Arabidopsis thaliana: one gene and its partner. The protein of the gene in region 1 interacts with the protein of each later gene in a biochemical or structural test. Each region holds a gene or a part of one and is shown on either strand. Other genes may lie near its edges.

Region 1 (3,799 bases):
ATAAGGCCAGTGGTCTGATCAATGTTGACTTTAGCCATTTAAAGGTTTACACGTTCTAAGATAGATTGTCTTGTGATGTCTCTGGTCTCTCCTTACAGTGGCACAACTCACTACTAAGATCAAGCATTTATCCTCAAGTTTGCACAAAAAGGTAAAACTTCAAACTGTTTTCGATATTTTTGTGAAGCTATCCATCCCAGTTTCTTGTGGAACCTTATGTCATACCTGTTGGTGGCTGTACCGTAGGACAAGCATTCGCGGAAGGGACTTTTAGGAATGGTGCAGAAACGGAAGAAACTGTTGAAATATCTAAGACGAACTGACTGGGATTCTTACTGCCTTGTCCTGTCAAAACTCAGCCTTCGTGACAACCCGGATTACAAGTGCTAAGCTTTATTGCACTAGAGACCCGATGATGGTATCTGTGCACTCTTTTGGTTCAACCAACTTACTGTTGTGAGTGAGACTTAGCTGTTCAAACCCTGTTAGGCATTTTCCACTCTAGGGAAGAAAGTCGCTCTATTCTATTTTGTCCTCTTACTCCAGTGTTTCAGCTGGAGCTCTTCAATCATGCATTTGTGGCAAAGAAATGAAGTTGTGGATCTCTTTCATTGATGTTTAGTATTCCCTTTCACATTTGAGTTGTGATAATAAAGTTATCTACGAACAAGCCTCATGATTTCATTTTACATTTATAGCAATGGTTTGATGATCTTTTCCCAAATGTCACATTGAAGAAGAGAAACATTAGGTTTTTGGAAGAGAAATTGTATCTACAGAATCAAAAACATCATGCCGTTTTCTCACAAACCAAGAGCACCGAGAGGCGTTTTCCCCTGCCCGGCCTCAAAGTAAAAGATCAACATGGCAACCATTGCGAGCCTCGAGTGCTTAATCTCTGCCAATTTCAGCCTCTCCAGCTTCTCAAAGTCCGGCTCATAAACACCGTCGCGGTTTTTCCCGGCGAGACCCAACGGATCGAAGAATCTCCCACCGGGGTATCCCTGATCGCCGGTATAGTTCGCGAAATTCTCGGCGGTCTTCGACCATGGCGTTGCCCACTCAACCGATTGAGAATCCGGGTTGAAGAAATCGACCCATCGTTTGCTCTCCACCCAACCCATGAGAAGCAATTGGGTTCCAAGAAGCGACCCGAACGAGAAGGGAGCGATCGCGTCTGGCTGGGCTCCAGCTTCAAACCATGCCACACCGCTCCAGGCCTGGCCGACGAAGATCCCAAGAACCGCTGCCATCGCCCATCGGCCATGGATCAGCTCAGCCTCTCTGTACCATTTCAGAAAAGCCGGGTCTTTCCCCAAACCCAATGGGTCGAACCCGAAATCTCCTGGTAGCCTGCGAATATCACACACATTTGACTCAATAACTGGGTAACAAACAATTCGGGCTTTTCATGCTCTCTTGAGATTCAGCTAACAAATTAGAACCAAATGAGTAATCAGGACCTTGAATTATCATAATCTATTGTCCAAGCTAGTTTATGAGAGATATGAATGAAAATTCAGCATTGTTCATGCTAGTAACTCAGATATAAAAGAGAATAGACTTACGAGCCATCGAGCCATTCAGGGTCAAGGAAGTTGCCACCACCTTTAACGGCAGGGATCCAAGATTTCTTAGGCTGAGCAGCCGCAGCAGCGACAATAAGAGTTTTCCTGCCAACTCTCTGAGCTCCAGTGCCTACGCCGCTTGCCAATGCGGTGGCACCTCTCTTGCCTCCGGTGAGGAACGAAGAACCAAGCCCACTGAGGACAGCTCCGGAGACCGCCATCGCCATGAGATCTCTAATATACTTGCTCTGTTTTTTTCTCTCAAGATGTGGAGAAATGAGTGTTTGGTTGTTGTTCTCTCTCTCTGTTTTTCGGAGCAGAAAGAATCAAAGAGAGGAGATTTAGAGGGACAATGTGAGATAATGAGAATCTATAGACGAAATCTCAGAGGCTGTCGTGGATAGATTTCTGACCAATTAGGAGTCAGAAACTACTTCACCATATCCACATCACCCACACTCACCACTGTCTTATTCTGCCAACTCAGTATTTACATTTTTCTAATACTTTACTTATCTAAATCTAAATTGTGAGAGGAAAATAAAATGACACGTGGAAATTAATTTATTTTCTTATTGAAATGTAAATGACAGCAATGAATTTACAAAATGGCTGCATTATGTGGCTTATTGCGTTTAGATTACACATTACATGATTAACTGAAAAAAAAAACGAAAATTTAAAAATATATAAAGAGAATTAACGATTAAATGGCGGGGAATCCCAAGTAGGCGGAGGAAGCTCAACAAACGGTTGATTTGAACCCATGTCCGGGTTTGGTGTAACCGGAAACGGATTATCCGGTATTGTTGGGATGGACTCTATTGGTGGTGCGAATGACGTCACCGGCGGTTGCCATGGATTTGTGACCTCTGGCGGCGTGGTAAAGTCGGGAGTTTGGGGTGGGAAATCTCCGAGGACTGGTGGTGTGGAGAATACTGGAATTGTCGGTGGATCTTGTACGGTCGGTGGTAATGTGAAAACCGGCGGGATCTCTTGAACCGGTGGAGGCAAAATCGGCGGGAACTCTTCAGCCGGTGGAGTGAGAATTGGCGGGAAATCTTGAACCGGTGGAGGCATAATCGGAGGGAATTCTAGAACCGGTGGAGGCAAATTTGGCGGGAACTCATCAGCCGGGGGAGCGAGAATTGGGGGGAAATCTTGAACCGGTGGAGGCAAAATCGGAGGGAATTCTTGAACCGGTGGCGGCAACTCATCAGCCGGGGGAGGTAAAATCGAAGGAAGGTCTTGAACCGGTGGAGGCAAAGTCACGGGAATGACTGGTGGCGTTAATGTTGACTGGTCAATAGGCGGTTCAATGGTTACATCAGGTGGTGGCGGTTGTCCGATGACTATATCCGGTGGGAGATTGTTTACTGGTGGAGGAGATCCCGTGATTATAACCGGTGGGAGATTGTCTACAGGTGCAGCTGGTGGCGTTAATGTTGACCGGTCTAAAGGCGGAGGAAGGAGGAAAACTGGAGATGGTGGTGGTGATCCAGTAGTAATATCAGGCGGCGAAAACCATGCTAGTGGTGGCATGGGCGGGACGTCTGCGACTAGAGGCGGAGGAGGTGAACCGGTGATTCCCGGAGCTCCGCCACCTAATAGAGGAGGAGGAGAAACGGTGATTCCCGGAGCACCACCGCCTATAAGAGGAGGAGGGGGTGAACCAGCGATTCCTGGAGCTCCGCCGCCAAAAAGAGGTGGAGGAGGTGAACCAGTGATTCCCGGAGCTCCGCCGCCAAAAAGAGGAGGAGGAGGTGAACCAGTGATTCCCGGAGCTCCGCCGCCTAAAAGAGGAGGAGGGGGTGAACCAGTGATTCCCGGAGCTCCGCCGCCTAAAAGAGGAGGAGGGGGTGAACCAGTGATTCCCGGAGCTCCGCCGCCTAAAAGAGGAGGAGGAGGTGAACCAGTGATTCCCGGAGCTCCACCGCCTAAAAGAGGAGGAGGAGGGGAACCAGTGATTCCCGGAGCGCCACTGCCTAAAAGAGGCGGAGGAGGTGAATCTGTGGTTCCCGGAGCGCCACCACCTAAAAGAGGAGGCGGTGTCATTGTAAATGGTGGCTGTGAAACCGTGCCGCCAGGTAGAGGTGGTGGTGGTGATAAAACTAATGGAAGAGGTGGTGAGGGAAGAGAGGAAGATAATGGTGGTGGAAGAGGCGCAGAAGGTGGAGGAAGGGGTAGCACCGGAGAAGGCGTCACAGATGGTGGTGGTAGAACAGGAAATA
Region 2 (6,029 bases), on another chromosome or scaffold:
TAAAGCCAAACAAACATATATGATTGGCATAGTCAAGTTCTCAACAAGCTATCCTCTAACGAAGCATTTGGGTAACGACATGTCGTCGTATATATATCTAGATACACGTACATATTAAATTAGAAATTTACTCCAAAAGCAGAGGATTCTCGTAATCATTACCAAGTCGGCTCGAAAGTAGTTTATATACATTACTATGAATACATTTCCAAATGAAGATGCCCGTGATTTATGACCCCACAAATTCAAAGACAAAGACAAAAAAAATATATACCCTATTAAACCGGTTTGGTTTAGATACAGTCCCAACCATAGAAGATACAATCTTACTACATATACTTTACGTTGCAAATTTATAAATACCAACCCATGTCAGTGTCTTGTTGGTGTTGCTTAAAAAGAATGACACAAATATTAAATTCCACGTAGGGACCTTCGCTGATCATTACATATTCGGTTCGTTTTCACTTATCACGTGGGTAATATTTGATGTTATGAAAGTGTTCAAAAACTACGTAAATTATAGTTTTTGCACCCAAAAAATAAAATACAAATGGTTGAGTTTGTATACAGGGAAACATGCAGACATAACCTCAAACTTTTTTTTTTTTTGCAAAGCTACCTTTCACCTGCAACACAACCATCCAAGTCATAACTTAGCTCGAGTAAATGATCTCTCAACGAGAGCATGCGTTCACAACTTAATAAAAAAACTCAATAATTTATCAAAACTACAGTACGTTGTTTTAAATATTTTAAAAAACTAACATAATGTGAAATAGGGACCGTAAAATGACTTAACAATTGAACAAATAACCTAAACCGTGTAAGACTATATTATAAAGATTCGAACACATGACATGAACTCAAGACATAACCATATAATACACGTACATCTTTTGATAAATCATGAAGAATAATATCAAAAAGAAATTCTTGGTAATGAGTCGAAAATCAAACCATTAAATTTTCAAACTCGAATGTTTGTAGATGTAAAATTTTAGGAAGTTTCATGTATAAAAAGTAACCATGTTCGGAACTGAATAAAAGCTATAAAAGGACTTTGTTAACTTCGGAATCCGTAAGTTCAGAATTGTCTCGACTAAAATAAAGGTCCAAAATCAGTACTAATGTACTATGTAATATGTATCATTGCTAAGCCGCACAATCATGAAATTTTATTTTGGTACTACAAAGCCGCAAAATCAGTACTATGCATCATTGCAAAATCAGTACTATGCATCCGAGAGAGTGTTGAAAAAAAAATTTGGTACTACAAAGCCGCAAAATCAGTACTATGCATCATTGCTAAGATGAGGTAACTGTCCATTAAGCCGACGAAATTCGGTTTTCATTTTTCTCATTTTGATTTTTTCTAGGTGTCAGACTCGTCACTCCCAATGTCTGAACCGAAATTAAAAACCAATCCAAACCATAAGACCGTTTGAAGACATTGCAATTTTGGTTATTTCCGGTTACCTTTCGCATGTATGCAAATATAAACAGATTTTATGTACACAATTGGACGATCTATTTTCCGAACAATTGATATACAAAAATATAACCCACCGGACTTTTTTTCTACACGTTATGTATATTTACTTCTTTCAACGACGTTTCTAAGACTCGTCCGGCTTTGGTTCGAGAGTTACAGAGATTTTCTCCTTGTGATCGCCTCTTAGAACCTCTACGGTCACCTAATCAACATCATCAGTGTCAAAACTATCTCGGATGCAGAAACTAATTGACAAAAACTGCGGAGTTTACCTCATCGCCGACTTTGCATTGATCGAGAATCCGGTACAGATCACTCCCGTTAGAGACTTTTGTACCGTTCACCGACGTGATTATGTCTCCTAGTACTAGTCTCCCGTAACCATCACGTTTTGTTGACTGAAGTCCCTGTGGAACAAAACCAATTTTACACATTTCAATATTAAAACCGCGGAGTGAAACATAGAGAAAATATCTGTTATATGGAAACTTGGAAACAGGAAGAGCTTACGGCTTTGCCGGCTGGACCACTTGGAGGAGCATCCAAGACGAGCACACCGCTCACTCCCAATTGCTCAACAGATTGGTCCGGTGCGAATTTGATACCTAAGATTGGTCTGGTGACTTTACCAAATCTCACCAGCTGATCAACGATACCACCAACCTGAACATGAGAGAAACAGAGCTCGAAACAACTTTAGTCTCCCGTTAGTGGATTCAATGATAGAGAAAGACTCTATCTGATCAGATTTGCAATGGGTAAAAAAGAAGAGAGAACTCACTGTATCAACTGGGATCGAAAAGCCCACTCCAGAAGATGCACCAGAAGGAGAATAAATGGCTGTGTTTATACCAATTAACGTTCCTGAGCTATCTAGAAGAGGTCCTCCGCTGTTACCAGGGTTAATGGCTGCATCTGTCTGTATCACATCTTGAATTGGACGACCAGTTGCAGCAGAACTAATTTCTCTTCGCAAACCACTGTACAAATCATAATGCACAAACATGCTACAGTTTTAATAAGAGAAAAGGAATAGTATAGCCATTTGGCATGAAGAGGGGCAAGAGAAAATATATGTATCCAGTATCCTCAAGTACCAATCATCTTTTTTGACACTTTCATTTGTGAGTTCGTTATGAGAAGAACACATCTGATTAGAGTAGAATGCAACTTAAAAAAAAGAGAAGACAAATATAATTTAACATACCTTATAACACCAGTTGTGAGAGTATGATCAAGTCCAAACTGCACAAAAAAGTTCTTGCTTTAGTGCGTATGAACAAGAAACATAAGTATTGACCTAGCTAGCAATAGAAAACACAAAGCAGAGCTTTAATCTATGATCACTTTAAGGATGTATACTCACTGGATTGCCAATGGCAAAGACTTTCTGGCCAACAAGCAGATCAGCAGAGACTCCAACAGGTATAGGTCTTAATTTGTTTTTCGGTGCATCAATACGTAATACTGCAACATCCTTATCTTGGTCAAATCCAACAACTTTTGCATCAAATGTTGTTTGATCAGCAAGAGTGACCCTGTTATATACATCATCCAACTTCCTTATCATACACAAACATCAAAAGAAACCATCCAAAGAAACAATGTACTCATTATAAAACTAAGAATACAACAATTACTAATTCCAATTTCTATCAAAAATCAATCAGATTCTCAAAGTTTCAACATAACTAACCTGAGATCAGAAGCACCACGAATAACATGGTAATTGGTAACAATATGACCTTGCTTATCCCACACAAATCCTGAACCAGAGCCTTGAGGTACCTCAAGAACGTCCAATGTAAACGCGTCCTGCCTAATTCAAACAACATTAGACCAATCCTCAAATCACGGAGAGAAGAAATTCAAAACGAAATTCACCAGAGAGAAATCAAATTCAGATACCTCACGGCGAGATTAGTGATGTAAACAACGGAAGGAGTGTTCTCTTGAAACAAACGAACCGTCGCGAGCTCATCAGTTTGAAGTTTCTTCGGAGTACTAACTACAAACGCCGAGGCAGATTCAACGGCGGGAGAAGCGGCGAAGAGTGAAAACGATAACGCGACGGAGGTACAGAGGAGGAAGAAAGGTTTAACGGCGGAGAACGGAGTAAAATGAAGAGTATCATCATCGTCGTCTCTGTTGTTGTCGTTTAGTGAAAGCTTCGAGAGGATTCGGAAATAGCGTTTGGATCGGATTGGGTAAAGAGAAATTGGAGAGGATCGTGAAGAAGAGAGATTGAAGAAGGAGAGGTGAGAAGAAGGAGGAGAGTGAAGGAAGAGAGTGGAAGAAAGGAGAAGCGAACAACTCGTCGTCGTCGCCATTTAGTTTCTTCTTCTTCTTCTGGTCATGGGACAATGGGATTGTGGTCTCTGTTTTATTTCATTTTTTTTTGTAATTAAAAATATTAATTTTTGAAAATAATGGTTTTTCTATGCGAAGCTATGGTTTTGTATACGTAACCGAATCGAACCGAAATTGAATTGAAATTTGTTTAGTAAACCACTATTTTATGATCTTATGAATCTGGAATAAACAAAACCGGGTCTTTTTTTTGTTACCGAATCAAATTGAATCGAAAACTTTTTGTACTTTGAAAATAAATTTAAACAGTAACCTTTATTATGGTAAATATTATAAAGAATGTTGTTACTTATATCCATAACCCGTAGTACACCAATAATCGATTTTTTAAAATTTTTAAATTTAAGTTGTATTTCTTTATATTATTTGTTTTGTTTTTGTTTGATATTTGTTCACCCGTAATATATCATCCCATATAAATATCGTTCCAAACCGAATGAAAAGTCCAAAAACAAATCAGGATTTCGCTTCATTTAAGAACTTCGAAAAATCAAAAGCCCAAAAAGACCAAACTTAAGAGTTTAAACCAGATAATCCACTCCTAATTTTGAACACTAAACACTTGTACTCCATAAGAGTAAAAATGGTTATTCCTAAGTAATTCTTCTTTCGTCGAACTTATTAAATACTTGACTTGGTTGATATCTAAATCTACTAGATAAAAGTGCAAAAAGATTAATGGTGTAGTTTAGAGAATCTTCTGGGACGGTCTAAGTTCTTTTGGCAGCTCACTAAAATTCTCTGCGTCCACATCGGCTTGATACATTGGTCTCTTCCCCATTTTCCACACAATCCCTTCAGCTAAATGTTCTTTGTTCGGTGTCAGCATTACAAAGTTTGGATCAGCTCTTTGGTAACTGCAATTTCACAAAATAAAACAATGTGAAGAAGATCATGAAGCTAAAGAGGGTTGATTTAATTTTAAACTTGTCACAAATGGACTGACCTGGCTTCTCTTAAGTTATCAACACGTAGACCGAACCCACATTGGACATTTCCAGTCCTATGATTAGTTGTTGCTGCATAAAAAATGAGTCCAAACATGTTCAAATACCAAGAACCTATGTTCATCTTGATTTCGCTGCATTCAGGTTATTTATCAACGCATACCTGAAATATTGAATGCGAAAGACGGTTTCCACCACGACTTGAATGCTAATGACAATGTTGAGCTATGAGCTCCGACTTTACCCTGCAAAAGTTGAAAATGTTACATACTGAGCAAAATTTGAGATAAATGGTTTCTTTTTGAGTAACTCGATAAGGTAAATATTTTTTTATACCTTCAGCAAAAAGTTCTTGTTGGCCTGCCAAGACGCAGCCACCTGCAATAAAGAATCTGGGGCATTGGGTGGCGTCTTGGAATCATCAACCCTTCAATATTAAGACGAAATATAAAGTTCTGTTTCTGTATAGACAAACAGTAGCTACAATGTTTTTTTTTTTTTTACTTAGAGATGTTCACTACCTCGATTGTAGCTCAAAACCAAAATCAATGTAGTTTGTGATTCCAACTACTTGGTTTTCTTCGAAAGGATTTTGCACCTGTTCCAAGTCCATTAAATCGATTTCATATTGAGCCAAAGATGTGCTAAACTTTATATATGGAAGACTAGTATAAGATGCAGCACAGAAAAAGGACTTGTTTGAAAGAGTTGTACCCGTCTTTGGACCACTACGTGTTGGTAGAACGAAGCAATAAACTGCATTTACAAGAAAGATAACATAATCAGCAAGACTAAAAATGCTACAAAATGGATGATATGCCATTAGATAAATAATGTGGTCGTTTGTCAAGTTCCATGAGATACTGAAAAATTGTTTGGGGTTAAGACTTGTGCATACAGACAGCAAAACAACATGTTTTCATCTACACGGATTTTAAAAGAATCACCTGAGAGCTTCTTGCTAGTTCAATGCCAATGTTAAAAGAAGGAGTCAAGGGGCTTTGTGACCCTACTCCATAGCCAGCAGCACAACTCCAGTTTCTTGGGTCTGTGTACTTTGCCAAATCTTTGCTTCCATCTAAAACAAAATCCAATAACAATTGTTGATGCTCACTTTCTTTCAATCACATAATTTATAGATACTAGTTTCCACATGTGATGCGTAAAATCTGTTCAACAGAAATAAAACAATGTAAACTAACTCACGTAGCGGCTCA

What was found.
Region 2: the proteins of LHCB6 (region 1) and DEG1 form a complex in vitro, tested with the Arabidopsis thaliana proteins (one study listed by BioGRID).

Annotation. Positions count from the first base shown.
Region 1 is NC_003070.9:5,445,882-5,449,680, forward strand, and holds LHCB6 (light harvesting complex photosystem II subunit 6), read right to left. Parts: upstream 2,000-3,799; 5' UTR 1,796-1,999; coding exon 1,569-1,795; exon of another isoform or gene 1,354-1,568; coding exon 804-1,353; 3' UTR 581-803; downstream 1-580. Other genes in the region: AT1G15810 (S15/NS1, RNA-binding protein), read left to right, coding at 99-151, 247-390; AT1G15825 (hydroxyproline-rich glycoprotein family protein), read right to left, coding at 2,268-2,648; AT1G15830 (uncharacterized protein), read left to right, coding at 2,845-3,799.
Region 2 is NC_003074.8:10,365,040-10,371,068, forward strand, and holds DEG1 (DegP protease 1), read right to left. Parts: upstream 3,906-6,029; 5' UTR 3,826-3,905; coding exon 3,404-3,825; intron 3,315-3,403; coding exon 3,192-3,314; intron 3,034-3,191; coding exon 2,862-3,033; intron 2,741-2,861; coding exon 2,703-2,740; intron 2,476-2,702; coding exon 2,277-2,475; intron 2,159-2,276; coding exon 2,006-2,158; intron 1,903-2,005; coding exon 1,768-1,902; intron 1,698-1,767; coding exon 1,620-1,697; 3' UTR 1,570-1,619; exon of another isoform or gene 1,310-1,569; intron 630-1,309; 3' UTR 613-629; downstream 1-612. Other genes in the region: AT3G27930 (beta-galactosidase), read right to left, coding at 4,554-4,722, 4,812-4,884, 4,976-5,057, 5,149-5,239, 5,334-5,410, 5,527-5,568, 5,760-5,890, 6,019-6,029. UniProt on the Arabidopsis thaliana protein: Serine protease that is required at high temperature. May be involved in the degradation of damaged proteins. In vivo, can degrade beta-casein.